2 linked regions of the Astyanax mexicanus genome follow. The protein of the gene in region 1 binds, or shares a complex with, the protein of each later gene. Links are inferred from orthologs where the notes say so. Each region holds a gene or a part of one and is shown in the gene's direction. Other genes may lie near its edges. The genes, in order: llgl1 and prkci.

Evidence for each region.
Region 2: the proteins of llgl1 (region 1) and prkci are in contact, whole or in part, in a cryo-EM structure (PDB 8R3Y), measured with the Homo sapiens proteins. The link is inferred for Astyanax mexicanus from reciprocal best matches to the Homo sapiens genes LLGL1 and PRKCI. Residues at the interface, in NP_004131.4 of Homo sapiens: Ala315, Asp319, Glu367, His391, Ser392, Ala394, Thr396, Glu453, Cys483, Glu484, His485, Phe506, Asp507, Pro508, Tyr509, Ser510, Asp511, Pro513, Gln518, Lys519, Lys569, Ala600, Val601, Thr602, Leu644, Gly648, Pro649, Leu650, Ser651, Arg652; in NP_002731.4 of Homo sapiens: Asp339, Met341, Gln345, Arg348, Leu381, Asp382, Met399, Thr412, Phe413, Cys414, Pro417, Leu425, Glu445, Gly449, Arg450, Ser451, Gly457, Ser458, Ser459, Asp460, Asn461, Pro462, Asp463, Asn465, Thr466, Glu467, Asp468, Tyr469, Leu470, Phe471.

Annotation. Positions count from the first base shown.
Region 1 is NC_064410.1:54,042,611-54,059,710, reverse strand, and holds the start of llgl1 (lethal(2) giant larvae protein homolog 1), read left to right. Parts: upstream 1-8,251; 5' UTR 8,252-8,392; coding exon 8,393-8,473; intron 8,474-15,752; coding exon 15,753-15,850; intron 15,851-17,100. Other genes in the region: myo15aa (unconventional myosin-XV), read left to right, coding at 1-54, 257-329, 799-872, 966-1,048, 1,134-1,264, 2,519-2,613, 2,706-2,783, 2,870-2,966 and 6 more. UniProt on the Homo sapiens protein: Cortical cytoskeleton protein found in a complex involved in maintaining cell polarity and epithelial integrity. Involved in the regulation of mitotic spindle orientation, proliferation, differentiation and tissue organization of neuroepithelial cells.
Region 2 is NC_064415.1:44,600,506-44,616,831, reverse strand, and holds the start of prkci (protein kinase C iota type), read left to right. Parts: upstream 1-7,859; 5' UTR 7,860-8,087; coding exon 8,088-8,167; intron 8,168-14,709; coding exon 14,710-14,831; intron 14,832-16,326.

The DNA of each region.
Region 1 (17,100 bases):
TCAAAGAAGGGGAAAGACTTTAAGGATCCAGCAGAAATGGTGAAATTTTCCAAGGTGCAGAATAATGTTTTTGCGATACTCCATTAGTACATATAATAATACATAAGTTAAATACTGTGAGGAAACATTCACCGAATGCAAAAAAATATTTTTAAGCATACAGATAATTTAAGATAATTAGTTTTTTATGCTATATAACTATTGGTAGGTTAGTATCAGTTGTTGATAATGTTGTTGGTTTATTTGTTTTGACTAGACCCCAATCCAGCAGTCCTTGATTGAGTTCACAGATGAAAATATGAATAAGATAGCTGCAGATATTTTTGTAGGTAAGTATCGAGCTCACAGTTATTGTTTTGTACTAAATCCCAGCATTTGAAAACAATATGTGCCATTAATTATTATAATTCCACAAACTACTACGATTTGGCTTTCTACTAGATTTTGGAGCATTTCTGTAAAAATGTGATTGATTGATTTGATTGATTTGCAGTAGTTAAAGTCTTTTATCAATCCAGAGAACAAAGTTCCACAGCTCTGCAACTTCATGTCGGGGATCTTTATACACGTCTAATCCATTACTTAATGTTCTAGATTTTCCTATTTCATTGGCAGAACCTCTCTACAGAAATTAGACAAGCTGTGTTTGTGCATTTGCACATCTGTTTCAGCAGTGGGAGCAACCTAAAGTAGATGATCGCCTTTATTAAAATGAGTGTCCACAAACATGTTTACATACTATCTAGTGTTTGTTTATTGTGCATATGTATCTTATACATCTGTCTGATGTTTTTCCAGCTATAATGAAGTTTATGGGGGATTACCCAATAAAAGGCCAAACTGAGCAAGACATCGTCAGCACCATACTGAGGGTAATCACAAACAGACCACCCGGCACAAAATACATTAACCGTCCACCATTAGTAAAATCAGATTCTCCTGTGATATATGTTTTTCTTTGGCAGCTGAGTGGAGAGTATGGTCTTTTAAAGGATGAAGCATACTGCCAGATCCTCAAACAGATCACCGGAAACACCAGTTCAAAAACGTATCGTTTCTCTTTTCTCTGCTTTAGAAAATCCAGTATGTAGACTGTCAGCATGATGTTTTTGTACTTTTTCTGTATTTTTCAGTGACAGTTGTCAAAAGGGGTGGAGGCTCCTGTATATCCTCACAGCCTATTACCGCTGCTCTGAAGTCCTGAAGCCCTATCTACTGAAATACCTGCTGGACGTCTGCGCAAGCCCAGGAGTGCACTTTCAAGGTAGGACGCTGTTGGTGTCTGCTAGGGCTTTCTAGGGCTGGATATTTTACTAAACATAAATAGAAACCAAGCTTTGGGATCTTGTGTATAAATCTTGCTCATATCAGTTATTTAATTTTTTCAGAATTAAATTCTGTTAATCGTTATATATTGTGTAACATTTATCCTGTGGTCCCTGTTTTGTACATTCTGTAATACTGTTGTGCAAGAAAAGAGTGTACTAACACTGTTAGAACTGTTTTGTTAACCCTAAATAAAATAAAAGAGGCTCCTCCCTGACCTCCTAAGCACTCCCACACTCAGCCTCGCCACAATGTAAGTATATAAGTGACACAGTAAATAAATAAAAATGCCATGAGATACCATGGCCAAGCGGACTAAAACACTGATACCATGGCAACAGCAGTTGGAATCCTGGGTCATACTGCTTTAGCATCAGCAGCCGGAGCCCGAGAGAGCACAATTGATTGCGTGTAGATGATGCTTGCTAGTGATGCTTATTGGTGACAATTCTACAAGAGGGGCAGCTAATTTTACATAAATGGGAGGACGCATGCACTCGTCCTCGTCCCTTTTAGTATTGGGAGCATTATGAGTAAGTGGGTGGATTATTTTTTTAAGCTGTATTGGAGAGAAAATTGGTAAAAAAATAAAACATGCTGTGTCTGTTGTTCGCTAAAATAATAATTCATTAGTCAGAATTAAGGTAAAATGTTATTTGCAGAGTTCAGACGGTCAGGAAAAACCTGGAAAAGTCATGGGATTTGAAAATAGCAAATTTGAAGGAAAAAATACCCAGAAAGCTTTGGAAAAGTTTGGAGAAAATCAGCTTAAAGTTAATTCAGTATTTTAAGTCTACACAATAGAGCTCTTAGGATCTGACACACATTTTATTATTTAAGATTGTGTGTAAACATTTTTATCAGATTAATTTTAGGCGTACTATAATTAATTTTGATTATATTTTTAGTTGAATTTTGTTTTTATTGTTCATGTCTTCACTGATGATTTAAAAATCGTATGGTCAAACTTTGCCTTAAAGGCATGGAAAAGTCATGAAAAAATCATGAAAATGTATTGGTTAAAAAGTATATGAACCCTATAATTGTAATATTAAGGTCATATACTTCACCTCCTCTCAGCTCCTTCAGTGATTATTTAGTAGACCATTTTAATTAATTAATTTAATTTAATTAAGTACACTAGACAGAAATGAACATGAGAAGGTTCTTGATGTTGTCTTGTTGTTGGCAGGCATTGCCAAAGCTTGTGAGCAGAACCTAAGGAAGACGTTTCAATACGGCGGGCGCATTGAGTATCCTAACAGCATGGAACTGAAGGCTATGATGGTTAGTTTTCATATTTACCTGACTTTAATCCAGCTATACGGTTGTACTTACCCTGTTTAATTTCTTCATGTCTGTGCTCTTGGCTCCTGTAGGCTGGTAGGAGCTCCAAACGTCAGCTGTTTCTTCTCCCTGGGGGGACTGAGCGGCACCTGAAAATTAAGACCTGCTCAGTGAGTTTCCTGTTTTCAAGCTTTCATGCTTTGAGAGTTTATGTTCTATATTTATTACACTATATTTGTGCAACTGTCATATTTAGGTTGCTTTGGATGCCATAGAAGAGCTATGCTATGAGATGGGATTACACAACATGGAGGCCATGGATGAATATGCCATATTTGTTGTCACAAACAGAGGTGAGAACATATAATTAATAACATCAGTATATTTTTGATGATTGCATAATTTGTAGCACCATTAAAGGACACGATTTGCACATGCATTTCTGGGCAAGCTGATCAATACAGAACTGTCACTAAAAGTGAATTAATTATGTTGTATATAATTTTACCAAATACACGATTTTACACAAATTTGACTTGAGTTAAGAAGAGTTAAACCAGAATTACACAATGCAGTTAGCAGTGTGATGAGCACAGAGTGACAATGATAGTGATGTTATTCTCACAATCATAAGTGGAGCATCACAGTGATTCTAAAGCTGTTATATCTACAATACAAATTCTATATAGTTTTGCACTTTTCTGCTGTATTTGAGGTTCATTAATGAAAATCTCCATTTCTAGATCAGTATTGTCTCAAAATGCACAAGATTAACCATGTTTTGCGCTAAACTAACACGTATCGTGCTTGTGATGATTATTTAGTGTTACTAATGACTTGTTTCAGCTGTGTTGGGGGATGGAATATTGCCAGATTATGAACCGTTTAGTTGGAATGAAAGAACTGGGTTGACAGCCACTGCAATAGATATTATATGCAGTGTATATACAGCTCTGGATGGTCAGTTTCTGAATCTGTTTCTCTGACTTTCCTATTTATAGGTATATGTTTGAGTAAAATGAACATGAACAGACTTTAAATAATGCCAAAGAAAACAAGTTTATATTCATAAAGTTCAAAAATCAGTTTTTGGTGAATTAAACCTCCACCAGTCTTACACACTGCTTTGGAATCTATGCCACTCCTGGTGCAAAAATTCAAGCAGTTCAGTTTGGTTTGATGGCTTGTGATCATCCATCTTCCTGTTGATTATATTCCAGAGGTTTTCAATTTGGTAAAATCAAAGTAACTCATAATTTTTAAGTGGTCTCATATTTTTCCAGAGCTGCAAGTGCAATGTTTTTCTATAAAATTCTCCATCACTCCTAATCTACAGGTCAGAACGTTCGTCCACTGAATAAGAGAGAGTACATCTTGGATATCGTCACAGAAGCAGAGCCTATCGACAGCAATTACAGCCTGTGGTTTAGAAGAGTGATCTGGAATCAGCCACTTAAATTTGACAATGAACTTGGAGTCACCATGCATTACAACCAGGTACCTGTTTTCTCTTAAAGCAGCACCTTTTCATTATTTTGAATTAAAAACAGTACTGTCCCTTAGTTCAGAGAGGGCAACATATTATAATACTGTAAATGGCATCAGTGTGTTCTGCTACCATTCCTGCAGTATATAATATATTTATTTTAAAGACAGGGTGTCTTGTAGATCCCAAGGATTTTTTCTGGCTATAGCAACTTTTCCTGGTTACTAGGAAAAGACTTGCACACTGTCACTTTAATATTTCTGTTTATACCTCAGTAACAGGTTGGATGATGCATTGCTGTACTTATTGGATGAGCTTTTGTCACAGAATTTGTACTTTTTCATGTGTCTCATATTGCAGGTTGCCCCTGACTACTTAAAAGGACTGCTGAATGTTGTTCCGCAGGGGAAAGCAAGTGAGCAGCAGTTTCAGCAGGTGGCAAAATTGGCCGCCCTGCAACATCGTGCCAAGGACTCTGCCTATCTTCCTTCCCTGTAATTCAACAGTCACTCGCCTTACATTTTACCAGACCTTTTTCTAGATCATGTTTTTTCTAGATCATGTTCAATTCTAGAGCTTGATTCCAGATTCCAGTCCTGGATTTCAGAAATGATAGAGTTAAATTCATTACATTTTCAGAAAAAGATTTTATTAGTTCTGCTAGCGCTCTGCTCTGAATGGGTCGTTCCTGCTCCAATAGCTTTTATAACTATTAATTTGGTCTTTATCTTCAAAGTGTCAGTTTTGTTTTCTTGTGTTATATTCACATAATGACATGATTATCGGACAAGTTGATCTTTTCAGAACTTTTAACAAAATTATGAATTTCTAAAATCTTTATTTTTAATCTTTTATTTTAAGTTTTTTTTCAATTGGATTAATAGCTAAAATTATAAACTATGTTTATCTGTACATTCAAGCCTTGAGGTCCAGGAGTGCATTCCTGTCCAGCTGTGTGTGCTGCAGCGCCCCCAGCAGTGGCTGAACATGGTAACCCAACACATGCAGCAGATCCAGGCCCTCAGCCCCCATCAAGCCAGAGCCCAATTCCTGGGTAAGGAGCTTCGATGCTCAAAACGTAATCAATACTGTAAGTGTCTATGGTGTATACTGTATTTATGACCACTGCTTTATATTTTGGTATTACAGGGCTCGTAAGTGCCTTCCCCATGTTTGGATCCTCCTTCTTCTACATTCAGAGCAGCAGCAACAGCTCCATTGACTGCCCCTGCATTCTGGCTGTCAATCAGAACGGACTGAACTTCCTGAACAAAGAAACACATGTAAGTAAACTGAGCAGATCATGAACACATGTATCTTTATATTGAGATAAAGAAGATAGACCTGATGAACTGATGAACTTGATCGATTATTTGCTCTGCAGGAGCCGATATTGAAATTCCCCCTGAAAGAGGTGCAGTCCAGCCGCACTCAGAGGCCTACAGCCGGCTCCTGTTACCCTTATGTGGAGATAATGCTGGGAGATCTGATGTCTCAGCGCATCACACAGCTGCATTTAGACCAGGTATGCTCTGTACTGTATGTGTACATGAAGGAGAATAACATAATTGGGATGTTGTGATCTTTCATGATGTGGTTTGGGCTGGCTTAATTCCAAAATATGCAAAGACAAATCAGACATGACTGGGAGTTTTTGTACATTTGCTTTGACTTTCGTTTGATGCAGACAGTTTTAGACCGCTGGACCACTCGGTGCCCCGTCTTTATACATTTCAATATGTTTCTCTTGCGCTTGTTGATAAACTGGAGATCCTCTCCTCATCTTTGCTCATCAAAGTCTGAGTCAAATCATGATTATAATCAGCTGTTGACATCACCTTTTTAAAATAACATCATTATTATTTTTTTTAACCATACGCTGCCTCCATCCCAACTTCTTTTGAAATGTGTTGTATATTAGCACATGAAATAAACTGAGCAGACAAAACATTAAGGGCTCTATTTTAAAAATCTTTAGGTGAGAAGTCATCCCCACACCCCGTGCAGCTTGATTTAAGGCGTGCAATATGACTTTGCTATTGTAACCACAGGAAAAGTATGCACTGCGAGGCTTAAAACACGCCAAAGGCATGTACTTATCCTCTTAATTAATAATGGGTGTGTTTTGGGCGTTCATTCTGTTTATTGTTGAGGTAAAAGTTTGCATAGCTGCCAACAGGCATGTGCTATGGGTCTTTTAACTGCTGCGTGTCCATTTGTGCGTAACAAGTGTGTTGGGCACGTGCTTGTGTCTGATGGTTGATGTCTGCTTAGGTTGTTTTCAGTCAGTGGTGCACCTGTGTTTTTTGTTGCCAAGGTAGCAATATGGCAGAAATTTACCTAAACACACACCATATTTCCTTATTGGATATATTCACACACACTGTTGCTATTTAAACAATGCAGGTGCGAGGCATGAAAATAGACTGTTGGTAGGGTGTAAGATAGCAATGAACAGGGTATAAGATAGGGTCCTACAAATATTGAGTTTATACTGTCTGCAATTAAATACTTTAGCATTTAGTACCAACTTTTGGATTTATTGGAGTGATTTTTGCATATGTGTGATGTGTGTGTGTGTTTGTTACTTTTCAGAGTCTGGAACTATGCCGTGTCATCGCCATGCACATGGAGAACATGCTGTCAGTGCGAGAGAAGAGACTCACTCTGCCTCCCAGCGAGATCACTTTGCTTTAATTAGCCTTCAGACAAAAACACTCACACACATTATATTTCCACTTTCAATGATAAATATTGTTAGAATGATTTGACCGATTTTTAGCCTTGTTGCTAATTTAAATCGTATTACCACTACCTCACACCCTGAAGAATATGCTTCGATATGCCCCCACAGGCCCTGATTCCACTTTCACTGTGGAACACAAGGTAGAATCGCCCGTCTATAAAGAATGTCTATGATTTGTCAGGATATGCCATGTTTTGCTGCTGTTTCTGAAATCATTTGCACTTCTGTGAATATGTACATAATGTATTTGTGTGTCATTTTCACATGTTGTATCTGAATACAAAAATAAATCTAGTTTTTCAAATTATTTTTTTTATAATTGAACAAAACGTGAAAGCCTCCGTGTGATTTATTTGATATATCCTACTCATTATTAAACATCACTAAAGATATTTAGTTTGAGCTCAAAACTTATTTCAGGACAATCAAAATACTGCATAATAGAAAGGAATAATACTGCAAATTAAACTCACTTGCAAATTATAAGGCAATGTATGAGGAATCCAAAATACTGAATTCATACTATGCATGCTTTATATAAGGCCATAAAATGTGTCGATTCAATAAATTCAATGTTGTTTTCTAACATTTGTTATTTTCAAATATTCACTATTTCCTTCCTTCATTATGTTTCCAAAATTGTTTTTTTTAAGGCAGAAACAAGGGAGAAATTTCTTAAATTGAGGGAATTTGTGGGGATTTCATGTTTCAAACCGTGATAACAGATGTTTAAATCAAGGGAATCATGTAATAACTTATGGTAAATAATTATTCAAATAAAGGGAATAATTTATTATATTATAATACATTTTTATTGATGGAATGATTAGTGAATATAAGTAGTGAAAGATTTGTTAGATTGTGGTACCTGTCTTTTAAATTAGGGGAGTGTAATAAATTTAATACAATCAAGAGAATAATATAAAGTGAAAAATTTACATTTTTTCCAGATTTAGATTTTTGTAACAAGGGGATTATTTATTTAATTGAGAAAAAGATTGAATTATTAAATTAATTCGAAATTGAATCAAATTTATAAATAGATGGATACTTTTATTAAAATTAAATAATGCTTTATCAAATTTTGGGAAATGTTTTAAATGGATTATTTTAGGTTTTTAGTAAGTATTTGGTCTGGTCTTCTGAAGCCCTGCATGTGGAGCGTGCTTAAACGGTCTGCTCTCAGCGGCGCTTCTGATTGGACGCTGGGAAATTGGCTGCTGATTACAGTCCGCGGCAGCAGCGCTCCGGTCCGCGGAATCCGCTCCGGGTTTTGGGTGCGCAGTGAGGCTGGGGGCGTGGTTTAGAGGCTTGGTCGCGGTTTCCCGGGCTGTGATTGGCTGCTGCGGCCGTGATTCCTGTGAACTTGCCCTGTGGTTGAACGACAGGAGCAGGCTGTGGGCGGGCGGTGAGAAGCGGAGGCGGAGGGAGACGCGGAGCTACGCGAGGCACGCTGTCCGTTTATTTAGCGTCAGTTTAAACGGTGCGGGAGTTGAGAGACAGAGAGAGACGCCGCGGGGTTTGGGGACGCTGTGTTCGGCTTCAGGATGATGAAGTTTCGGTTCAGGCGGCAGGGGAACGACCCCCAGAGGGAGAAGATTAAGCAGGACCTCTTCGCGTTTAATAAGGTGGGTGTGATTCGGGGGCAGCGGGCAGTTTAACCGCGGGGTTCTGCGGGGAGCAGCGGCTGCCCGCTCAGCTGCGGCTCATCAGAGCTGCGTGTTAAAACTCAACCACTCAACGGAAAAAGTTAGCTGAAGCTGCTGCTGCTGCTGCTTCTGCTGTAATGCAGTGCTGCTGCTCTGTCCTGCACCACAGTTTAATGTGCTTTCTTATAAATGAGACATTTAGTCTCCAGAATTAAAAAAAAAACATATTAACTATCCACTATTTCCTTAAAAACACAGCTACTGATAATCTCAAATTTGGCTAATCCACGCTTTTTCTAGGACATTTTTTCTGTTGTTTGTCTCTAGGAGTCTACACAGGTCTGGGATGTTTATTTAACACGACTGTTCACAGTCACTATAAAACAATCCAAACATATCGTCTGTTTTTCCCAGTAAACATTAGTGAGATGTGTGGGATGTTTGTTTGTACAATTTCTAATTCAAAACCTTTCAACACCTCTGGAAAAAAATAATTAAGGATAATTAGGATGCAGACCTCAAATAATGCAAAGAATACAAGTTCATATTCATAAAGTTTTAAGAGTTCAGAAATCAATACTTAATGGAATAACCCTGCTTTTTAATCACAGTTTTAATGCATCTTGGCATGTTTTCCTCCACCAGTCTTGCACACTGCTTGCACACTACTGTTTTTTTAAGCCGCTCCTTGGTGCACAAATCCAAGCAGTTCAGCTTGGTTTGATGACTAGGTTATATTTGTCTTCTTTGTCTCTAGTAGTCTAAAAACATTAGTAAAATTGGCTAAACTAGTTAGTTACCAATGTTAACAAAGCATTTTTATGCTTTCAGCTTTGGAACTCCTATATGATGATACATACAGAGAGTGTACACAGGTCTGGTATGTGTTTCTGCAACGTTTATTGTCCGCAATCACTTAAAAAAACTAAAGATATGTCTACAAACATACCTTCTGCTCTTCCCAGAAAACAATGTAGAGAGGTGTGGGATGTGTTTATGTACCATTTCTAATTTAAAACATCTCAAAAACAGCCCAAGCTTATTCTGCCAAAAAGCTCTTTTCTATATTTGTGTTTGTTTTTAGCATTGATAAAATGGCAAAAACAATAAGCAGTTGCATGAATCAACTTTGCACTAACGCTTATTTCAGTAAACTGTGTGATATTGCAACCTATTTTTGTTGCACATTCCAAATTCTTGTCCCCAGTTACTAAAGAACAATTCAAACATATCTTCTGCTCTTCCCAGTACACAATGGAGCAAGGTGTGGGAGTTTAAAACTAGTTTAAAACATCTTAAAAAGCAGCCCAGACATTCTTACAAACAAATTAGCTCTTTTCTGTATTTGTTTTTTTGTCTAGCAGTGTAAAAACATTGGTAAAACTGGCAAAACAAACAATTGCATGAATCAACCATACAACCTTTGCATGAATGGCCTGTACAAAAATGCCTAAAAACACCCAAACTCCCATAATCTTACCAGTAAACAACCACAAACATTTGTCACACCACACTAGCTATTGCTGTTTCTTTGACTGTGAAAACTTTGATGAAATTGGGGAAAATTACCACAGATGTGCTCTTTTTTTAAAATAATTCCAAACCTCTCCTTCAGTTTTCCCAGTAAACAATAACATATTTGGCTGCACTCATTTAACTAGTGCTGTCTGGGTGATGTCTGTCTCTGACTGTGTAACTGTGGTTGCACCACACTTTCTCTTTGCTAACTATATAACAGTTTATAGAAAGAGTGTACACAATAAGGAGAAATGTGGGATATGTTTCTGTAACCGTTATTGTCTAAAATTCCTAAAAAAACAATGCATTCCATTTGCTCCTCCCACTAAACAATCTTAACATTTGCTGCACCACACTGCTGCTGTTTTACTGCTGTCCGTCTCTGACAGTATAAAACTGTCAAACAGATTCTGGTTATATCCTTTTGTTTCTCTCTCTCTTTTTCAACTCTGAATGAGGTCATATAAACAGCATATGCAGTGGAGTGTGGCCTGTGATGTTTCTGTAAAATTCTCTTATCCAGATTCTCTGAAAACAATTCCAAACTTATCCTGTGGTCTTCCACTAGTTCTGTCTGGGTCTCACTTCCCTGACAATGTGAGAGTTGGTAAAATTGGAGGTGACTAAAGTTAACAGAGTATGCTTACACTCTTAATTTGAAAAAACTGTAGACTTTAAATACCAAAATCTGGAGTCCAATAAAGTGTCTACACAGTGGTGAGAAGTCTAGGACATCTGCCTGGCAGTAAATTCTCCCACCTGAGTTGAACTCGCTTCTCAGAGGCAGGAGATGGTAAGATTTGTTGAACTGTTATGTAATGAGACAAGTAACATCTTCATTAAGATAAGACAATTCTTTTCACCTCAGGCATGAGGAGGTGGGCTCTGATATCCTTTGAGTAATGACTTTGGCTTCTTTTCTAAATATATGGAGTATAAGTAGTGTTTTTTTTATCTAATTATTTCTCTGTGTAAAATGTTTATTTTAATCTGCATTAATGAGTTTTACAATTTAGACATGTTCTGATCAGGGTTTTTCTCTAACCTTACACAATATTGTATACAATATTCAGCCAAAAAAACTCTTTTCTGAGAGGAGAACCAGCATTATTAATCAGTACATGTGGCTCAAAGTGAAAGTTTTTTTGTGTACTTTTTAAGTAAATAGTCATCGTATTTTGACCTTTTATTGTTTAACATATGGAGCTTGGAGTATAACACCGGTTTCATTGGAAGTCTCAGCTGTCACACAGAGGCTATATTTTAGCCTGGCTGGGTCTCAGTGGGAGTTCTTTAAAATTGTACTAAATTACAGCCTCCAAAGGAGGTGAATAACATATTGGTGTGAATCCTGTAACTATATATAAGCAAGTCTATAAAAAAGTAGTGTGTATGTCACCATTTAATGGTAATTCTGTAGTAATCTGGTCACTGTCAATTTTCTAGGATTAAGATTGCATTTATGTTTATTGACCTTGATCACTCGGGTAGGAGTATAGATCCTGGGGTTTAAAAATAAGTATCAACTAAAGCTTTTTACTCAAGTAAAAGTACTGGTTTTAAAACTACTTAAAGTGTAAAAGTAATGTAAGGCGGGAAAAAATAACATTAAGGACAAAAGCACTAGGATGCACTAGGCTCCCTGTTTCAGCTGCATATATGCCCATTGAAAATGAATGTATTCTAATGTTTACAATGCAAATATATTGAAATTTCTTCTCTTAAGTTCTCTTGAGTCTCTGCATGGATCATCTTCATTCTAGACTACATACATCTGCTATGTTCTTGCTGGAGTGTGGGCGCGACATGCAGGTGTGATGGATCGTGTAAACCAATAGGGTGTCAGAATTGTATATGTTTATACTTCTAATCCAATCGCAATCGGATTCACTCATTCAATCTGGAAGGAGAGATTTATCTGGATAGGGTGTTTTTTTATTGACGAGAAGCTGTAATGAAAACAAGCTGAAATGAAATAAGAGTAACAAGGCTAAAATGTAAGCCGTGGCAGAAAAACAATGACTCCATTAAAGTATAGATAACCAACTTTTTTACTCGAGGAATTTACTTGACACCTGACATTTGAATCATTACTAAAGTAGAAGCAATGTATCAATAGGGGTAAGTTGCTTTTGTTGTGTCCTACTGTACACCACACCATTTTTAAAAGCATGTTCACTTGATCTTGTTTAAAGCTCACCTTCCGCGAAAATCCGATTTTTCTTGTTTTTTTGTGGAATACAGTAGGTCTCTCCGAGTTGAATGTGTACACCTGCACATTAAACTGTTTTGCAGCCCCCATTGTCTGCAGGAGCTAAGCAAAGAAATCCCCCCTCCCCCCCTCCGAAAAACGGGTGAATTTTGAATTATCTTTCTGCCTACGTAGGCAGAAACTCACAGACCAGCCCACCTTGGCTCGAGAAACTCCCAGAGGCGGAGCTGAAGCGACGCAACATCACCGCTCATCAGTTAGGAGGTGGGAGGCAGTGAGCGGCAGAGAGGCGGAGCGGCGGAGCGGCGGAGGGGCGTCGCAGTGCTCCTAGCCAATCAGAGGAGAGATATTTGCATGCTGTTTGCATGTATGAATATTCATGAGCAAAGCTGGAATCCGGTCATTTTGGACACACCCCTAAAACAGTCCATTAAAAAAGAGCTATACAGAGACACCTGAGCACTTTTTTTTTACCAAAACGGCTCACATGTCATTCATTCATACTAGAGACCACAACTAGACATTTTAAAATGAAAGAAAAAACGACGGAAGGTGAGCTTTAACTATATATAAAGAAAATTACACTTTGCAGTAACTTGCACTTTTTAGTAATTGGGTCACATTCGGATTTCTCTTGACCACATAAACCCAAGTTTAAACGTGCCCGGAACTCATTGTGAAAGGATTACAATTGGAACACACAAACCACTTTCGGAGGTGGTCAGAGATGCGAGTGTAAACGTAATGTGATTTGTGTATCCTGATACGCTGACCACAGTGTGCAGTGTGTTCCCTTGTGGTTAAAACAGTCCTTCGCAATTTGTGATGGATCTGTTGGGAATTTACAAACCAACTATTGTTCCAAAGCAATTTGAACCCCAAGAGTGTTCCTTGAAGCTGTTTATGGTCTCCTGGAGTCATACCACAGTGTTGCAGAAACATATCCATCACTACAGCAAATCTGAGATGTATTTTTATTTTTGCCTGAAGAGCAATTGCCACTTGTGTCCACTAACTTGGAATGTCTGATGCTATACAAAGGAATGACTATCCGTATTGAAGTGACCAGACAAAGGTGTGTGTTTTTTTTTTGAGACCCCCAGTCTGGATTTTTATATTAAGTCCCAAAAGTCCTCTGGATACTACTGCAGAAATAGCCATATGTGCTGGTTGGACACCCTATTAAGTCACTTTATACCTAGTCACATGTGAGTAGAAACTGCGTTGTATTCTGAAATGATTACCCACATTCTGTCATGCAAAACCCCCAAAACCTCCATGATAGCAGCTTTGCAACAATCAGGGAAAAACATTTATTGTTCCTTTTTACTGAACCGTGATTATAGTGCCAAAATTACTGAACCCCTTTTCTTAAATGTTTATGATTTGGACTTAACCACATTTTTTGCTTCATTTTTGCCCAAATTTTTAATCAGAGGACTATTAGGTCTCTTATCTTAGTTAGTCTCCAGCCAAAAGGTACTGCATATACACTATATTGCCAAAAGTAATTATTCAAACAATTGAATTCCGATGTTCCCATCACTTCCACAGCCACAGGTGCTTCTACAACATTAGTAACATTTAGTAGAATTCCAGCACTGTTGTACAGTGATTGGATGCAGCACCTGTGCAACAAGTTCAGTCGTAAAATTTCCTCACTACCAAATATTCCACAGCCAACTGTCAGTGATATTATAACACAGTGGAAGAGATTAGGAATGACAGGGGGGTCTGTAGATGCTGAGGAGCATAGTGTGCAGAGTTCACCAACTTTCTGTAGAGTCACTACATCACTACACACCTCCAAACTTCACGTAACTTCAGATTAGCATAAGAACAGAAGAGCATAGAGAGCATCATGGAATGGGTTTCCATGGCCAAACAGCTGCCTTTTAAGCCTCATCACCATACACAATGCAAAGTGTCAAGTGCAGTGGTGGAAAACATTCAGCCAATGTACTAAAAGCAGTGTCCTCTGGATTAACAAACCTCTCTTCTCCGTCTGGTAAACCATTGAACGAGTCTGGATTTGACAGTTGCCAAAAGAACGGTTCTTTTTCTGGCTGCATTGTACCAAGTCTAAAGTTTGCGGGGGGGGGGGGGGGGATTATTGTTTGGGGGCTGTTTTTCAGGAGTGTGGCTCGGCTCCTTATGATTGAAAGGAAATTGGAAAGATTTTGGACAATTTAATTCTTCCAACCTTACTGGAACTTGACTGTTCTGCACAGAATCCTGACTTCAACCTGATATAACAACTTTGGGATGAGGTAGAGTGCAGACCATGAGCCAGGCCTTCCAATCCCTTCCCATCATTTTTTTGACTTCACAAATGCACTTCCCATAAACACACTCCTAAACCTTATGGAAAGCCTTTCCAGAGGAGTTAAAGCTGTTCTAGTCAAATTCACTCAAATTGTGTCACTCAAATTCAGAGTGTTCAAAGGCAGAGGAGCAGTTAATTTTGGCAATAAAGTGTAGCTCAGGTCATAAGGAGGAAATGTGTGGGAGGGGTGCTTATATTTCAAGGCAAGGCAAGTTTATTTATGTAACATCTTTCATACACAATAATTCAAAGTGCTTTACAATTTAGAAAATACAAAGAGAAGTCAAATAAAAAAAAGATTAACAATAAAAATGAAAGAAAAATGAATAAAGCGTGAAAAAAACATGATTTAGAAGAGTCAAAACGTGATTATTTAAACATGATTAAAACAATATATTTAAATGAAGAAAATTTAACCAAATAAATTAGAATAAACGTGCTGTTACAGAATAAAAGAGCTTCACTGTTTTAAACTGAGCTGAAGGCTAAGGCTTAATTAAACATGAAGGTTTTCAGCCTGGGTTTAAAAGTCTCTAGTGTTGGGGCTCTTCTAACGCTCTGTCAATTGGTTTGATTTCAGAACAGCATAGTAGCTAAATGCTTCCTCTCCATGTTCAATAGAAGACACTGTAAAAAAATTTTCCAAAACATTTTTGGGGCATTTCTTTTGGCTCATTCATCATGAAATTGACTCTTTTAAAATCATCATGAAAATCGTTTTATAGTCTCTCAGCACTTGTTTTGGGAATAAGGTGTTCTGACATTTTACCTCTGTGAAAAATGGTGGTGTCAGGCAGGGTGACCGCATCTGTGTGAATCTGATGAGGCTTTGAGACACTGTGAGAAATGTCTTCAGATGGCCCAGTCATTTATCATGTCACACCTCGTCATGTAGTGCAGAAGCAGCTGCTGCCCAGTTAACGCCAAGCTCTTTCTTCTCAGCTCTTCAAACCAGCTTATTCTCACACTGTGTTCTGGTAGGACGTCCCTGTCAGACTGGGCCGATTGTATAGGCCCGTTTAAGTAATGTTTCACCTCATTAATTGTTCTGCGTGAGACTCAGTAATTAGACAGCGTTTGATGTTGCCTGTAAGTTCATCTTGCTGCCTGGTGATAATGGAGGGTAATGAGATGTCAGAATGCTGAGCTGGTGTCTCCTCAGTCTGACTGCAGCATGTGTGCTCTTTCTTTAATTCTTTCAGACTGTCGAACATGGATTCCCCAATCAGCCCAGTGCTTTGGCTTATGACCCAAAACTGCAGCTTATGGCCATCGGAACCAAGTCAGGAGCCATCAAAGTGTATCCTTTCCAAACAGGTAATCTGCCTATGTGATGTATTTATGTGACTGTATCAGGGGTGGACAAAACCAATATTGTGTTATGATGCATGATGACACGATGTACTAGGTACTGTTGTGGATATTATAAATACTGCACAGTATATTGTTTAACAATGTTGCAATGGGCATGTGCACAGTAGTAAGATCACAGGTTGTACACTGTCAAATATTTATTTTTTTTCTTCTCTGGACACATTCCCACCATTTTCATTTTGTAATGTATGTACCAGTGGCTAATTAGATCTAACTCATTAACCCAGTAATGTTTATTTTACTCAGAGATATTTGATTGGATGGTTCACTGGAATTTTATCAAAATCCTTCTTTTTGAATGTATTTTTAATACAATATACAATATATTGTATGAGGCATATTTTTGTTCTTTTTATTTTTTAATTTTTTTTGGTCTAATGCTCTAGTCAAAGTTAACCTTAGCCTCAAGGAAAGACTAAATATGTTGTGTGTTGTGAATACACACATGCATATTCTATACACTATGTACAGTAGGTATCTTAATGGTTGTAGACACCCATCTAATTAATGCATGCAGCTATTTAAATTTACAACCATTGTTGACACAACTGTGCAAATAAAAACATGTTCAACTTGTGTAGTTTCTGTAATGAAGTATTACCAAGACATTACCTTTTTTTGCCCCATGCCTAATGCCAGGTGTGGGTTAGAAGGGTATAATTCCCCCAGCATTAATCTGTGGAATGGTCTTCTCTGGCATGATTGTAGTCAGTCTTATACTTTTTTTTTTAGATGAGATGGGCTGCTGTTCATTAAACATCCTGATGACAAATCCTCACAGCAGTGCTCCAAAATGTAGCAGAAAACCTGTTCTGCACAGGAGAGCCAGTTACTCCAACCAGAGAAGGATAAATTCACTTTTTTCACAAATTGCAGTTTGATAATGTTGTGATAATTAGCTTTTTCTTCTATGAGCAGCCACTGATCATGACTGACTGACTGCATACTTTCAAACAGGTTCTGAGCTCATGGTTCTTTTAATTGGGGCTCTGGTACATAAGCATACGATGAGAAAGTGGCCTACTTTCTGCTTCATTGATGACATTTAATTACTGAGCTTCCATGGCTCTTGTTGAGGAGCTTCTGCTTTGATCATTTTGGGATTTGGACAGCATGACAATCATTTCCCCACTGTGCTTTGTGCTAAACCAGGGTCCTTATTGCCTGTAATTCCCT
Region 2 (16,326 bases), on another chromosome or scaffold:
CTGCACTAACTCCATTACACACACTAAAAAAGACTCTACTTTTATACTTTTTATTTTTTTTTTATTTTTACTGTTTTTTTTATCTGTATCATAGTATCATTTTTGTAACTTCTGTGTACTGTGTATACCTGCTGGTGCTGCGTGTCCAGAATTTCCCTCTGTGATCAATAAATTATCTATCTATCTATCTATCTATCTATCTATCTATCTATCTATCTATCTATCTATCTATCTGTCTGTCTGTCTGTCTGTCTTCTACATTTGCACTACTGCTTATACCGGTTCAGTTTATACTTGTACTGTCATTCCCTCTTAACCCCCCCTCACTACTGCACTATAGTCTTGTCTCTTGTCTCACGTATATCTATATCTGTGAACTTGTTGTATTGTACATTTAGTGTATCTCATTATTTTACATAATCCTTTTTTCTGTACTTGCTGTAACTTTGGGAAGAAGAAAAGTTATTTCAATTGTTGTATGTCCTGTACATATGCAGTATTGACAACAAAACTACTTGACTTGACTAAACATTTAAGAAGCAAACTCTAGACTAAACCTAAACCCAGCTCAACTTAATCCAAATGTCCTGAGCTCCAACCATCATCACTTTTCTAAACTTAAATCAGCAAGCTGTAGTGTAAACCTAAAACTGCACAGGTTCAGTCTAAACATAAATCAGTACTGCTGTAGTCTAAATTAAACCACCAAGCTCTGAATGAAATCAAAGCTTGCACATCCTATTATTATTATTATTTAAATTTCCACTAGCAAGTTCTAGACTAAATGCAAACCTACAGTCTAAACTTAAAACATCACACAGAATCTAAACCTTCACAGTAGCACCCCAAATGAGCAGAGCTCCAGACAGTTATTTAAATTTAAAGTTAACTTAAACAAGCATGGTCTCGATTAAACCTGAATCTCCACAGCTCCAGACTAAAACTTCATTTGTACAGCTCCAGAGTAAACCTAAACCAGCACAGTGACCATCTAAACCCACAACACAATGTTAGACTAAACCAAAATCTGCAGAGCTCCAGTCTTAATCTGCACAGCACATGACTATGTGTCTAAGATTTAAGCTTAGACATATATTTTACAGGTTCATGTTTAGACTGAGGCTGCTTAGATTTGTGTGTAGGATGGAGCCGTGCAAGTTAGGTATAAATAGTTGCTGTTTAGGCTGTTTAGGTTTAGATTAAACCTGCAGCTGTACAGGTTTACGTCTTTACTGGGGCTGATGCAGATTTGGGTTTAGACTGACGCTGTTTAATATTTAAGTTTATACAGCAGCTGTACAGGTTTAGGTCTAGACTGACTCTGTGCAGATTTAGGTTTAGACCAACGCAGTTTAATATTTAAGTTTAGACGGAAGCTGTACAAGTTTAGGTCTAGACTGACACTGTTTAATATTTAAGTTTAGACTGGCACTGTGTAGATTTAGGTTTAGACTGACGCTGTTTAATATTTAAGTTTAGACTGAAGCTGTACAGGTTTAGGTCTTGACTGGGTCTGTGCATATTTAGGTTTAGACTGACGCTGTTTTATATTTAAGTTTAGACTGAAGCTGTACAGGTTTAGGTCTAGACTGGGGCTGTGCAGATTTAGGTTTAGACTGACGCTGTTTTATATTTAAGTTTAGACTGAAGCTGTACAGGTTTAGGTCTAGATTGGGACTGTGCATATTTAGGTTTACACTGACGCTGTTTTATATTTAAGTTTAGACTGAAGCTGTACAGGTTTAGGTCTAGACTGGGGCTGTGCAGATTTAGGTTTAGACTGACGCTGTTTCATACTTACGTTTAGACTAAAGCTGTACAGGTTTTGGTTTAGACTGACACTGTTTAGTATATAAGTTTAGACTTAAGATGTACAGGTTTAGGTTTAGATTAGGGTTGTGCAGATTTAAGTTTAAACTTGAGTTATCAGGTTTAGTTTCAGATTGTTTCAGGTTTAAAACTATGTTTAGACAAAGCCTGTAGACCTTATTAGTATAGATGTTAAGTTGTTGATAGTGATGTAGATGAAGAGTGAACTCTGAAGCGTTTTACTGAACTGTAACTGCACTCTGCCGCAGCTCGAGCGGTTTAATCTCTGGTCTAAACCCGCTCTCCGGTCTAAAGCTGCAGAGCTGCTGTCTGTCTGTCTCTCTGCTGCAGAAACGCCCCCCTCCTGCAGCACAGTCTGAGCCCCCTCCCAGCTCTTCATCCCTCCTGCTCCCGCGCCGCGCCTCGTTTAAACCCAGAGAAAGCGGTGACCCGTCCCGCAGAACGCGGCAGCTCTGTCTGCAGGTGAGATGAGCTGGAGGTGCATCACTCTTACCTGTCTGCTGTTCGATATTACCCGCGCGCCTCGGCGAGACGCCACGCTCTGCGCACCCGTACTCAGACACGCCCCGCCCCCTGTGCTGTGATTGGCTAAAAGTCTGACTCTCGACTGTCCTCCAGAGGGCGCAGGAGGGTGGAAAATGAATGGGCTTCTATAGCGCTTCAACACAACAGTGGGATTTATTTGAATTAGCCTAAAAACGTCTTTTTTCATCAAAAACAGGTGTAGAATAGTTACAGATAATCATCTTGATAATTGTGACAATACACATGTATTATTATGACTAAAAGGGTGGGGATAAATTGATGTAGACTGAAAGGTCAATCATCTGTATTCTTTCTGAATAGTTTTAAAGCTCTTACACTCTCCAGTTTATTTGTATCAGGAATGACACAAATAAATGCAAATAAAATGTGTATCGTATCCTAAATATTATGGATTTTTATATATTTATTCATTTATTTATAAATCCATAATATTTAAGTTAAATACACATTTTATTTGCATTTATTTGTGTCATTCCTGATACTGTAACAAATTATCCCATCTGAAACATCTGGAACATTCTACAACAAGTCATATCCTCATTTGTTTTTCTGTATATTTTATCTAATTTTAACTATAACAGAGGAGCTCAATCTCAACGCTCATTCCTTTTACCTAAATTAATTCTTAGATCTTATTTAGTTATTTATTTTTGCTAACTCTATGCTAAAAACTCACTCCTGTTTCTTTCAATCCAGTTATATAAAACATAAAAAGTATCAGGAATGAGTGACAGTAACAGGAGTGATTTGTTTGTCATACAGTTGCAAGAAAAAGTATGTGAACCCTTTGGGAATACATGGATTTCTGCATAAATTGGTCATTAAATGTGTTCTGAAAAAGTATTTAAACCTTTGTGTTTAATAACTGGTTGATCCTCCTTTGGCAGCAAAAACCTCAACCAAACATTTCCTGTAGCTGCAGATCAGACCTGCACAACAGTCAGGAGGACTTTTGGATCATTCCTCTTCACTAAACTGTTTCAGTTCAGCAATACTCTTGGGATATCTGGTGTGAATCGCTCTCTTGAGGTCGAGCCACAGCATCTCAATTGGGTTCAGGAGGTCAGGACTCTCCAGAAGGCATATTTTTTTTCTGTTAAAGCCATTTGGTTGTTGATTTACTTCTATATTCTGTTGCATCATCTATCTTCTGTTGAGCTTCAGTTGGCGGACACATGGTCTTAAGTTTCCTGTAAATTGTCTTGGTAAACTTGAGAATTAACTTTTCCTTTGATGACAGCAATCCATTCAGGCCCTGATGCAGCAAAGCAGCCCTAAATCATGATGCTGCCTTCACTATGTTTCACAGTTGGGATGAGGTTTTGATGATGGTGTGGTGTTTTTTTTTCCCACACATAGTGTTTGGTGTTCCTTCCATACAACTAAATTTTGGTTTCATCTGTCCACAGTATATTTAGCCAGTTCTTCTGTGGAACATCCAGGTGCTCTTTTGCAAACTTCAAATGTGCAGCAATGTTTTTTTGGACAGCGGTGGCTTCCTCTGTGGTGTCCTCCCATGAACTCCATTCTTCTTTAATGCTTTCTTTATTGTAGATTTGTCAGCAAAAATGTTAGCATGCACTGTAAGCCTGGACAAGTTGGATTTACTTTAAAAAATTGAAGAAACCGGTTGTCTTAAAAAAGTTAAGTTATGGGTAATAAAAACGTAAGTTAGCATAACTTAGAACATCAAGTTATTACAACTAAAGTGGAAATTTGGTAAGAACTTTTAAGTAATGGGGAAAGAAAACTTGAGTTAGCATAAATTAAAACATTAAGTTATAACAACAAAAGGGAAACTTGATTTATTTCTAAGGCAGCCCAGGGGGAAACACTACACACTGATGTTGAGTGTCAGAAACTGTTTGACACACCCAGTATGCAAATAGATTGTGACAGAAGCCAATGGAAAATAATCTGCCAATGGCAGCAGACTTATAAATTGGTTCAACTCAAAGATCTCTGTTTAAATATATATGTGCCCACAAATGTTCAACTAACTCAAAATAGTTGAGTATTGTTTAGAAATATCCAATGTTTTGTAATAACACCTAAATTTACATATTAATTACATGATTACAGAGAACTTTCAGAAAGGAAAATTACCACTTTAGAAAGTGTTTCATGCTCTTTAGATACATACATAGATACATACCAGAGTTTCAAATATTCATATGGAGCATTTGAGCAAATTGGGGTGAGTGTAGCGAGTAAACCTCACAAACCACCCGCTTTACTGGAGCTTCAGAACCTAGCTGTTTCTCTGGGTTAGGATGTTCTGGTATTGGATTATCCTATTTAATACGGTAAAAGCAGACGTATCGGCTTATGGTTGAATGTGTTAAATTTACCTGTCAACTAAGAACACAGTTCCTCTTCTGTGAAAGGTGGTGGATATAAGTTAAATGGATTTTATATTTTTGTGTTGTGTTTAAAACACTGTTGTTTAACAAAATTGTCCTCTTATTCTAAGTATCTAATCAATGTGACATTTTATAACTAACTGAGTATATTATTTTTCTTATTCCATATGTTTATTATCACTGTGTAACACTGTCTCGCCCAAAAAGTGTACACTTTATTATTTATTCTTTAATATATTGCCGGACCGGCTTTAGCTTTGATTGCAGCACATATTCACTGTGGCATTGTTTCAATAAGCTTCTGCAATGTCACAAGATTTATTTTAATCCTGTGTTGCATTCATTTAAAAAATAAATAAATAAAAATAAGGTCTGAACTGTGAAAATAATGATCTCATGCCCCCTGAACCACTCTTTCACAAATCCAGCTCAGTGAATTATGCCATTGTCATCTTGGAATATGCCCATGCCATCAGGGAAGAGTGTTCAGGGAGTGTTCACGCAAACATGCAGCTGCGCAGATTATATTAAACACCTCATAGACTAATACTAAAAGAGATATAATGAAGAAAATCAGTACAACTGTTTATTAACATTGTAAATATACAATATATCATTAAATGTAATTTTATATACACAATGTTCCATCACTTATTTTCTCCAGTTTTACTTACAACACGAATTTGCTGTTGTGGTGTAATTAATAATTCTTTCACTTCCTAAAGGTAAAGATTTTGCATTTTACAGAGACTGTAAGAATAGGTAAGTGGCTGGACTGCATTAGCAAGGTATTACACATGTTGTAATGTAACATATGATACTGCCAATCAGAGGCCATATGTTTGCATGTATGAATATTCATGAGCAAGAGCCAAAATCCTAGCGTTTCTCCCCACCCACTCCTCTAAGGGACTAAAGCAGCGAAACACCTGTTCACTGGAGCATTTTTTTTTTTTTTTTACAAAAAACAGCTCACATGGCATTCATTTATACTGAGACCAAAACTAGACATTTTTAATTAATTCAAAAATGATGGAATGAGACCTTTAAGAAACCCCACATTAAGCCTTTTTACATTAAGTGTTTTAAACTTTTACATTAAGTGTTTTAGCTCTGTGGTTCTGGAGTAACACTGTCCTGCTTGTTTTAATGTTTTGCGGGTGTAACACACCCAGCTCAGCTCACCTCTTCCAGGGCAGTTAGTTAGTTGATTATTTGGATCAGGTGTGTAATTAGTTCAAACCAATGACTGTAGTTAAATAATAAATCCGCCGGGAAGCGCTGCTCCAGAATGAGTACTGGGAACCACTGAGCACCTAAAGCTCACTTTGTCTTATTATCTGCCTTTTAAAAGTCTAACACAGGCTACACTGCTCAGCATCAACAGACTGAAAGTGTTTTTACCTCACTCTACAGTCTGTGTCATATCTCTGCCAGCTTGTTCACGTTCCCTGCCGCTGTTCTGTGACTTCAGTTCAGTGCGCCGTAGCATTAGCTAAAAGCTAGCATTATTTGCATTTTGACTCTTAAACGATCTCGAAACTCAGAGTATCCAGTGATGTTCAGGAGGGAAATGTACACAGAGTAGAACATACAGAGCTCATTCATTGTGGACATACAGAAATTCAGCTTCGACACGGAAACACAATTATGGACATAAACAACATGTCCAAAAAATGACTGCAGGACTGCAGTGGTCTATGTGTGGGGCTAACTGCTATAGTTTGAACGGCCAATCAGCTGTATAACTTACTTACTGTATACTTTTACAGCTGCCTTTACTACAGAACAGTTATTATTAACTCTAAATTAAATTAAATCTACAGAGTGTGTAATTAATGTTGTATATGTTTCTTATAATATTTTTATTATACGAATATATTATATTATATCATTTTTAAAATAATTAATTATTTGTTTGCTACTATAATACCTATTTTTCACTTTTAACATTTTTACATCAGCTGTAAGACTGAAGTAGAGATATTGTTGACCTCTAGTCCAGACAGGCTGTTTGTGAAAAGAAATCTTTGCTTAAGGGATGATTTTAAACCTGCCTAATTAATTATCTTAATTATAAGTCAACTCCATTCATTCAGTTAATTTTGAACTGGCTCTCTGGCGCCCTCCTTCGCCACTACGCTATACTGCAGTAATGTGTTGTGCAGCAGAATGAACAGGAAATGGGCGGGGCTCTACAATCTCAGCTAATCACAGAGGAGCAGGCGTGGCTTGGCAGAATACGGGTGTGAATTAAACGCAGCTGTCTGACTATCAAATGAGAATAAAAACAAAACAGTCATCAGAAATGTGGTAATTAGCAGCGCCACCAGCTGTGTGGGAGGTAAGGGGAATTACACTGGGGCCCAAAATATCTATGAGAACCTCAGGTGTGTAGAGGGGGGCACAATTAACCCAACCTCAAGTGGGGGATGGCGGTATTGGAGCTTTAATAATAGCAACAAGATCAGACACAGAGGTTCTGAACTAGTAAAGGAAACCCATAATCAAAATGAACGTGTGTGCTTAAGGTGGGGTGGTCTGCAGGCTGAAACCATGACATTAGGATCAGGTACTGAGGTTTTGAGGTTCTAGGGTGGAGGGGTACCCAATTTTCATAGAATTGTTAGGGGTATTATTTTTAAATAGGACTAGTGAAACAGATATTTTACCAAATTAGCAACTGATTTAGACTTTTTTGTTTTTATTTAGTAAAATTTTTAGTCTCTGCTTGTTTTTTGTCCTATTTTTTTTTTCTTTAGCAGTAGTTCAAGTTAAGAGAGTACTGAGATTATGAGCGCCGACTGATAAGATTGGTTTACCTTGAAGAGTTGTGAATCAAGAATCGTCCACCCCTCTTCGGCCATTCTTTTGGAATAGTCGGACTCTTTCCGGGCGCTTCCATTGTACTTAAAAAGGGTTGACAAAACTTTAGAACAATATAGTTTTGTGTTTATTCCACAAAGTAACCCAATATTTATCCTTCACACACATGGCTTAAATGTTTTAAATGTAATATTTATTACGTTTTATGTTAAATTCGTTGTTTATTGGTATTAGGTTGGTCTCCGCTCCCCGCACATTCCATAGTTAGTTCGTTCCGCAGTAGAGTCCACTGCACAGTCTGTTGTGGGGGGAGTCGAGACTCCGGCTGTGTTCTCCAGACCAGGCCGCCGCTGTTGTGTTTCGGTCAGACCCGCTCACAGCCTGCCTTTAGCCCGTTTACAGCTCCGTTCTGTTCCGCGGACACACCCAGGAGGACCGGCTCCGCTGACCGGCACTAGCTTAAACCGTAGTCGAGCCGGATAAGGCGGTTTTCTCCGGGGCTTCGCTGGCTGGCGGTTCACGATGCCGACGGTGCGGGACAGCACTGCGACCCACCCGGGGGAGAACCAGCACCAGGTCCGGGTGAAGGCCTACTACCGCGGGTGAGTTCGCGTTAGTTTACTATTTTAAGTCTATATATTTAAATCTTTATATCCTGATTAATAACTTCATCACTACTTTTTAACCTTGTTTGTGTCTCAGAGTTGGAAAATTGGCTAGAACTGTGGTGGTAATACGCCTGAGAAGTTTAGAACTGTGATTAGGCTGAAAGTAAACACTTGTTCTGCGTTTTGAAATGAATTGTCAACGTTTTTAAAACGTTTACTAGACTGTTCAATCCCATATTAACTCACACTGCCGCTAAAATACTTGGGAAATCCCTAAACAGCGCTACATTTCTAAATACGGAATAATCCGCTCCACCTTAAATGAGGCGACTATAACTGCTGCCTTATTTAAGGTGGAACGGAAAGTTCGCGTGAACAGAGCAGTTTAAGACTTGTCTCTAGTTCAGTGTTAAAATGCTTTGAAAATGTCCATTTTTAATGTATACCTACTGTGTCACAGTACGTAGTAGTAGTGTGTCACACAATAAAGGTATTTTAATATATTATCATATTGAAAGCTTAGGTACAGTCTGATACCTGTGCTGATATTCAACACGGAGTACTGTGATCTGATACCGATCTGATCGGTATTCGCCGATACTCCGCTTTGAGGTACTCAGACCAGAATCAGCCGATACTCAGTATTATGGTGTGAGAATTGTATCAGTATTGGCTGAAACATAACATTATGGTACTTGTATAATGGTATCTTTATATCGGCATATCGGATCAGTGTCTCATCAATAAGATAGTGAGATGGGTAACTGTAACAGAATCAGCGATGAATGAATGTTCTTGAAACAGAGCGGTATTGCCCGATATTCAGCCTTACGGTACTCTTATCTGATCAGTATCAGCTAGTGCTGGGGGGTATACCAGTTCACTCTAAAGAAGTGAAGTGACTGAATTTATTTGTTGGTACTAAAATTTTAAAACAATATCCAGCCATATAAATCACAAACCTATATCAAAGCCTAGTCATGCAAAAATAAATAAATAAAATAATAAAAATGCCACAATATACTGTGGAACTGTCATTATCTTGAAAAATACTGTGATATACATTTTTGGTCATACCGCCCAGCACTAGTATCAGCACTGAGGTACTTGGATTGGTATCAGCCGGTTCTCAAATCATTTAAGGTGAACAGATTGCTATCCTTTGATACTCAGCATAGCAGTGCTTGGATTGTTAGGGAGATCAGATTGGTTATTTAGCCTAAAAGTGCTGATGTTACTATAGAGATCAAATTGGCATTGGCTGATATTCAGCGTAATGGTACAGGATTCATAGCTAAGATCAAAGCAGTTTATACTCAGTTATATGGTGTTCGATTAGTAACAGTGGAAACTCGCCTTTAAGGTAATCTGCCAACACCCATGCTTATGACAGATTCAGCCAGTACTCAGCATTAAGGATTGGTGTTAGGATTAGTGTTAGTCGATACACATCATTGCAATACGAGGATCGTTATGTAGATCGGATTTGTATTGTCTTCTGTTTTGTTGTAAGGAGCCTGTCTCAGTATCACCTGACACGGAGCATTAAGATACTCTAATTGGATTGGATTGGTTTGACCAATATTTTGCAATAAGGTACTCCCTGATTCAAGCTGATGCTCTGCATTAAGGAACTCAGATCAGATTGGTATTGTCTGATGCCCATCTTTACTGTACCCTAATCTGGCCGACATCAGTTGATACTCAGCGTTGAGGTATGAATTGGTAGGGTTTGTATCAGCCATTAGCTTTATGGTACTCAAGACCGTATCAGCTGATACACAACTGAAGATACTGAAATCAGATTGGTGTCAGATAATACTTAGCAATAAGGTGCTTGGATAGAACTGGAAATAATTCATACTTAGCAGTAAACGACTCAAATATTGTCTGATATTCAGCATTTAGGTAGATGGATCTTTATTGCAAAATACTCAAAACTACTGTACACAGATGTAATTGGTATTAGTCTCTACTCAGCGTTAATATACTCATATTGGATGAAATTGGATAAAACTTATTAAAAATATTAGGGTACTGGGATCAAATAGATATTAGATGATGCTCAGTGTTAAGAGTCATACTGGCACATAAGGCAGTAAAACATAATTGGACTTCCCTAAGAATAATGCTGTAGTTTTTATACTGTAAAAAGCAGTATTCACTGTGAAGGCCAGCACTGTGAGCTCTGCTCTGCTCCTGTCACACATTGACACCGCGTAAATACACACTGTGGGGTAGACTCTGCTCTTTTCTGGTTTGATCTTTTGGTGCAAAATTAAACACTGCATATCCAGAGTTAGTGGAGTGATCTACAGTAATGCAGTACTGAAGCTGAACCAAAGTATTTCCCAGAAAAGACAATCAGATTCTGCCCCCTCTCAGATGAAAGCATTAATGTTGATGAGGGGAAATAGTGCTTCTGTTTAGTGATGGTTACGGGAGGAAAATATCACTCAGTGCAGTACCCCCTGTTGTGTAAATGGAGCTGCATAGTTGCCAACCTATCAGAGTGACCATGCTGACCCCTTGTCCTCCATCACCTACAATGGACATGTGATTGTCAGAATTTGACTGCAAATTGATGGAAGAGAGTGGTCTGGTCCGAGGAGTCCTTTTTTTTTCTCCGTTACGTGGACAACTGGCTTTGTGAGCACTTTTTTTTGTGGGGGTTTGGAACAAGAAGTCCAATGTAAAAGAACTTTCATAAAAGTATCTGTGTTTGGTACAACCTTCAGAAGGTGCTGTTTTAGTAGCACAAATGTTGACATTTTAGGTATGTACTATATGTTTAGTTTGTTTTAAAATCTATACTATGTTATTGTGTCCTGCACGTATTGTGATTTTTTTTGGAATATCATCCAGACTTGCCGTTCTCCTCCCACACCTTTACCACTATGGGTGTCTGGAATTTTTTTCTGAAATACTTCAGGGTTGTCAATGTTTAGCGTGCGCGTGCGTGTCTGTCTGTGTGTGTGTGTGTGTGTTGACTGAGTGTAATTCATTGAAGGACCTGATAAACCTGCTGATCCACAAATTTCTGCCGCACCCGTTAGAATGTATTCCTCCTCTGCTTTCCTCCATTGCTTCAGATGCCTCGCATTAAAGGAGCAGTTCAACAAAATGTTTGGTATGATGTGCTTCTTTAGTAAGCTTTGCTGCTGTCTATCGGTGATATGATGCATATCACATTACAGCAGTTACGATTTAATATACTGTGATACTTTATGCAAGAAGATATTTGCATTTAAAACTGTTCTAGTGTAAAAATGCACATTATACCGTTTATTTATTCAGTTAGAACAGTGAGATTAAAAAAGAAAGTACAACACTGCCCTCTAGTTTAGGGTTTAAACACAACATAATCAGTGTTTGACACCAATCTTTTTACATGTAAACTCCTAGTGTCCAACAGGACATGATTTAAACTTACACTGGACTTAAACTGTCACTAATCTCATCTGCATAAACAGATAATAATTTTTCTCTTAATTGTCTCTCATTTGTCTTTTTATTTGCTAAATGGATGTGGTTTGGAACAGTGTAACCTTTCACTTATAAGTCTATGAACAAACATGCATAAGCCTCTCTAACAGTGTGCAGTGTAGAGATGATAGACCTTCATACACGGTACTGTGAAAACGTCTTCTGTATAGTGATGATATTTGTGCCATATTGCCCCCTTAATCAGGAGCAGTATGCTCAGGATGCTTATCCTCATTTCAGCCTGTGATTGATGGATTTCTACTCTGAATGGAGCCTGTAAGAACTCCTGCCTCAGGAAGAGAGACGGAAGTGTTTTATCATGATATTTCTACAAAATGCCCTTAAGCATTTCAGAGAGTATATATATATATATAATTAGTCTTGGTATTGTGTAAGTGTATGTTGTTTTACATGGGCCTGTTATTTAATTCTTTTGATATTATATTTTTCCCCCAGTCTTTAGTGGGTAAAACATAATGTGCTTACAGATCATTAATGAGGCTTCGGACATAAAATGCTTAATAAATGTATTTATTTGCAAATAAAAATGTGAAATTTTACTATACCCACTAGTTCAGATGTGATACTATAATACGCATAGTGATAATAAAAACACAACAAGCAAAATTAATAATGTAAAGAGAGGAAACTTTATTAAATTTAAAGAAAAATCCAGCCTCACTGAGCCGGAGCTCTTCTCCCCTGTTATAAGAGCCTCTCGTTCCCTGGGGACAAAATAATCTGAATTAGTAACAGCGCTTCATAAAGAACACGATTGTGATTCCACTATTTACACATTAAATTACTCAGTTACAGGTTAATCAACAATTATTCTGGCTAACAGTTAAACCTGTTAAATTGATCGACCGCTCGACACTGCAAGTGCTCCAGCCATGTGTAGTGCTGGGAAAACCGGCTCTTATCGAGGATTAGTTTAACCGGTGAAAGGCTAACCCGCTAAGCTAACGATGGATTCACCCAGTCAGGTCTTACTTTAAATAAAGTACAGGTGAAAACAACACTGGAAAACAACTTAAACAGTGTTTAATGTAGTTTGATAAACACAGGCAGCATTGAGTGGAAATACAGAATTTAATTTTTACAGAAAGTCCCCCGCACTCCTGTGCGCCGTCTCTCGTGCTCCAGATCACCCCAGCCAGAGGGCAGTGCTTGCGAGGATGATTTTGCAAGATAAAACGTGAGACGGTAAAACTGTACTCATATACGGGGAAAATGGCCGATTCTAAAGATCGATTTGGGTTAATATGTATCGTTATCGGATAATTTAATTAATGATCGATTTAAATCGAAGATTCTTTTTTTTTTTTTTTTAACACACCCCTGCTGTGTATCATTCAGCTATTCAGGGCATTTTGCACAAGGAAAGGCTGTATGGGAGAGTAATGCAGAAGAAGCCTTTTCTGAGCACACGCCACAAACAGAGTTGCTTAAGGCATGCTAAAGCACATTTGAACAAGCCAGCTTCATTTTGGAATAAGGTTTCTATGGACTGATGAAACTTTAATTGAGTGTGTGGACATAACAAGGGGAGAAAAAAGAAACACATCATTCCAAGACAAACACTTGCTATACACAGTAAAATTTGGTGGCAGTTCCATCATGCTGTGGGGCTGCAAAGAGGAATGGTGGAAGATCCCTCTTTCTGTTTTCTCCCATCTTGTAAAGAGTTATAGGAAAAGATTAAGTGCTGTCTTGTTGGCAAAAGGAGGTTGATAAAATAATAACACCAGGGGTGCCAATAATAAGTGGAACACATGATTTCAATTAAAAAATTGTTTTTCCCACCAAATAAAGGCACTTAATGAATTAAAGCTTAGATCCATGTTCTATATTGTAAAAAAAAAAAAAAAAAAAAAGAAATTTATCTGAAGCCAAAGAACACTTCTTAACCAGGGGTGCCAATAATTATGGAGGGTGCTGTATTTTAGGGGATAGGATGGGCTTTCATGCATAGTAGCAAATGTGTCCCACACCCCAATGTCAAAGCCACTCCTATGCCCGTTTCTGCTAGAGTTAAGTATGTAGTGTGATGATAGTATAGTGTAGTGTCTGCAGTCCTTTCCTCAGAACAGTACAGTGACCTAGGGGTCAGTTTCTGTGTGTGTTTTGTAGTTAGTCATTGTGTGTGTGTGTGTGTGTGTGTGTGTGTGTGTGTGTACATCAGTAATGTAATGTAATGTAATCTCAGTCTTGCTCACACTGAGATTCATGCGTCATGTTTCACCCAGATATGCTAATGCTGCTAGTACAGACACAGAGCAAACTGATGCAGAGCTAGATGATAGCCTTTAGTCTCCATTCAGTGTAGCATAGTTCAGCATATGTTTCCTTTAACCCGCTCCTGTACTTTCCCTTTCCTTTTGAAACCCTGATTGTTAGAGCAGCAAATGTGTGTGTGCGCATGTGTGCGTAAACATTAATAGAACAGTTTGCTTTCAAGGAAGGAAAGGGGCGGTATAAAAATGTCACTCCACTATATATATATATATATATATATATATATATATATATATATATATATATATATATATATATATATATATATACATATATATATATATATATATATATATGTATATATATATATATATATATAAAATATATATATATATATATAAAATATATATATATATATATATATATGTATATATATATATATATTATTAAAAACAGACATTGTGCTTCTAATATAAAAATATTTTAATTCAGGTCTGGACTTTGACTTGGCCATTCTGACGCCTGGATACATTTATTTGTAAATCATTCCATTGTAGATTTTGCTTTATGTTTTGGATCATTGTCTCTATAGAAGATAAATTTTATATAATTTTATATATATATATATATATATATATATGTATGATGCTGTTATAAATAATAATGTTAAATGTGTTTTTCTGTGAGAGTATATTGAAGTTCACTTTAATTTGAATCAGACTGTACAGTGCCTCAGATGTTTAGTGACATGTAAATCATTAAAATTTTATAGGTAGTCTTTTTCTAATCTGGTCATTCTGGTGATCTTGCAGGGACATCATGATCACGCATTTTGAGCCGTCCATCTCCTATGAGGGTCTGTACAGCGAGGTGAGGGACATGTGTTCTCTCGACAATGACCAGCTCTTCACCATGAAGTGGATCGATGAGGAAGGTGGGTCCTGGTCCACATAAACACAACATAAACACAAACCACTTTCATAAACCAGTTCTTATCTTATGCTTATCACTTTTCTTTTTTTCAATTTCTTTCTTTCTGAATTTATCTATAAATAGTTAGTTATTGATTGTTATTAAAACAAAGCTTTATAGGGGAAATGTACTTTTAGTGTGTGTGTGTGTGTGGTGTGTGTGGTGTGTGTGTGTTAATTGTACGTTTAGCAGTATAGTGTGTGAGTGGTTCATGTTTTCCGCAAAATTAAATAAGCCAAAGAGAATCTATTGTTTTATTCCTGTACCTGCCAGACCCAGCAAGGGGCACTTATACCTATAGGAGTAGAGATAAAGCTAATCAAACAAATAGGTGAAATGTGCACATCTGCAACCATGGCTGCACAGTAAACCACAGAAACTGCCTTGATGCCACAGAAACCCCTTGAAGACCACAGAAACTCCCTAAATACAACAGAAACCAATAGGCTGCCACAGAAACCCCTTACAAACCATAGAAACCCTGGTGAACTCCAGTATAGTTCAGTTTTTATTGTTTCCAGGCTTTCAGAAGCAGCAGAGCTTCTTTAAAGATGAACTCGGTGGGACAAAGTGAAGCAGCAGGTAAAGTTATATCAATCACAGCCACATCAGCAGCCCCCAGTTAATCAAACTGTCTATTTAGGGCCGCTCACCTTATTACTTACTCCCTACTACACTGAAAGGGTTCTGGGTTGAAGAATCCTCAGGATTGGTGAAAGGGCTGCTGTAATAGCATTGTTCATCCAGGAATGAGTTTGCTGTGATTGCAGCACAGTGCTGACTTCTTGTGGAGAAAGGGGGTGTCATCAGTGTTCAGAGAGACAGACAGCTCTCAGTAATGTCCGAGAGTAACATCTCTCTACACACAAATACACACACACAAACACACTCAGTCTACTGCATCTGCTGTTTATTGTTCAAATCCAGTAAGCAGAAATGAAGATGAGTAACATCAACTCTAAATCCTGTACTAAAGCACCACTCACTGACTAACATTGTACACAAAGTGTAGCAGAAGAAGCAGTTTTAACAAACTATTATATATATATATATATATATATATATATATATATATATATATATATTTATATTTGTTTATTTATATTTAAATAAAAGTCCGGGTCTCAGGAGGATATATATATATCCTCCTGAGACCCGGACTTTTATTTAGGACTATTTAGGACTTCAAACTAGTATAAAAACTAAACTGTGTTTTTGCAAAAAACAACTTCTTGTACAAAAACATCGTCCTCATATGGGGACAGCGGTTTATTTTGACATATAACATTTATCCTTGACATTTGTGATCAGTAGGACCCAATTTGTCCAAAAACTAATTTTAGCTTTCTACACAAAAAAAACCAAACAATTTTAAACAAAATTCAATGCAAAATTTTACCAAGCGTATGTTTCTGTCTGGACTGGCTGTAGAAACTTTTGACTGGGATTCCCATCAT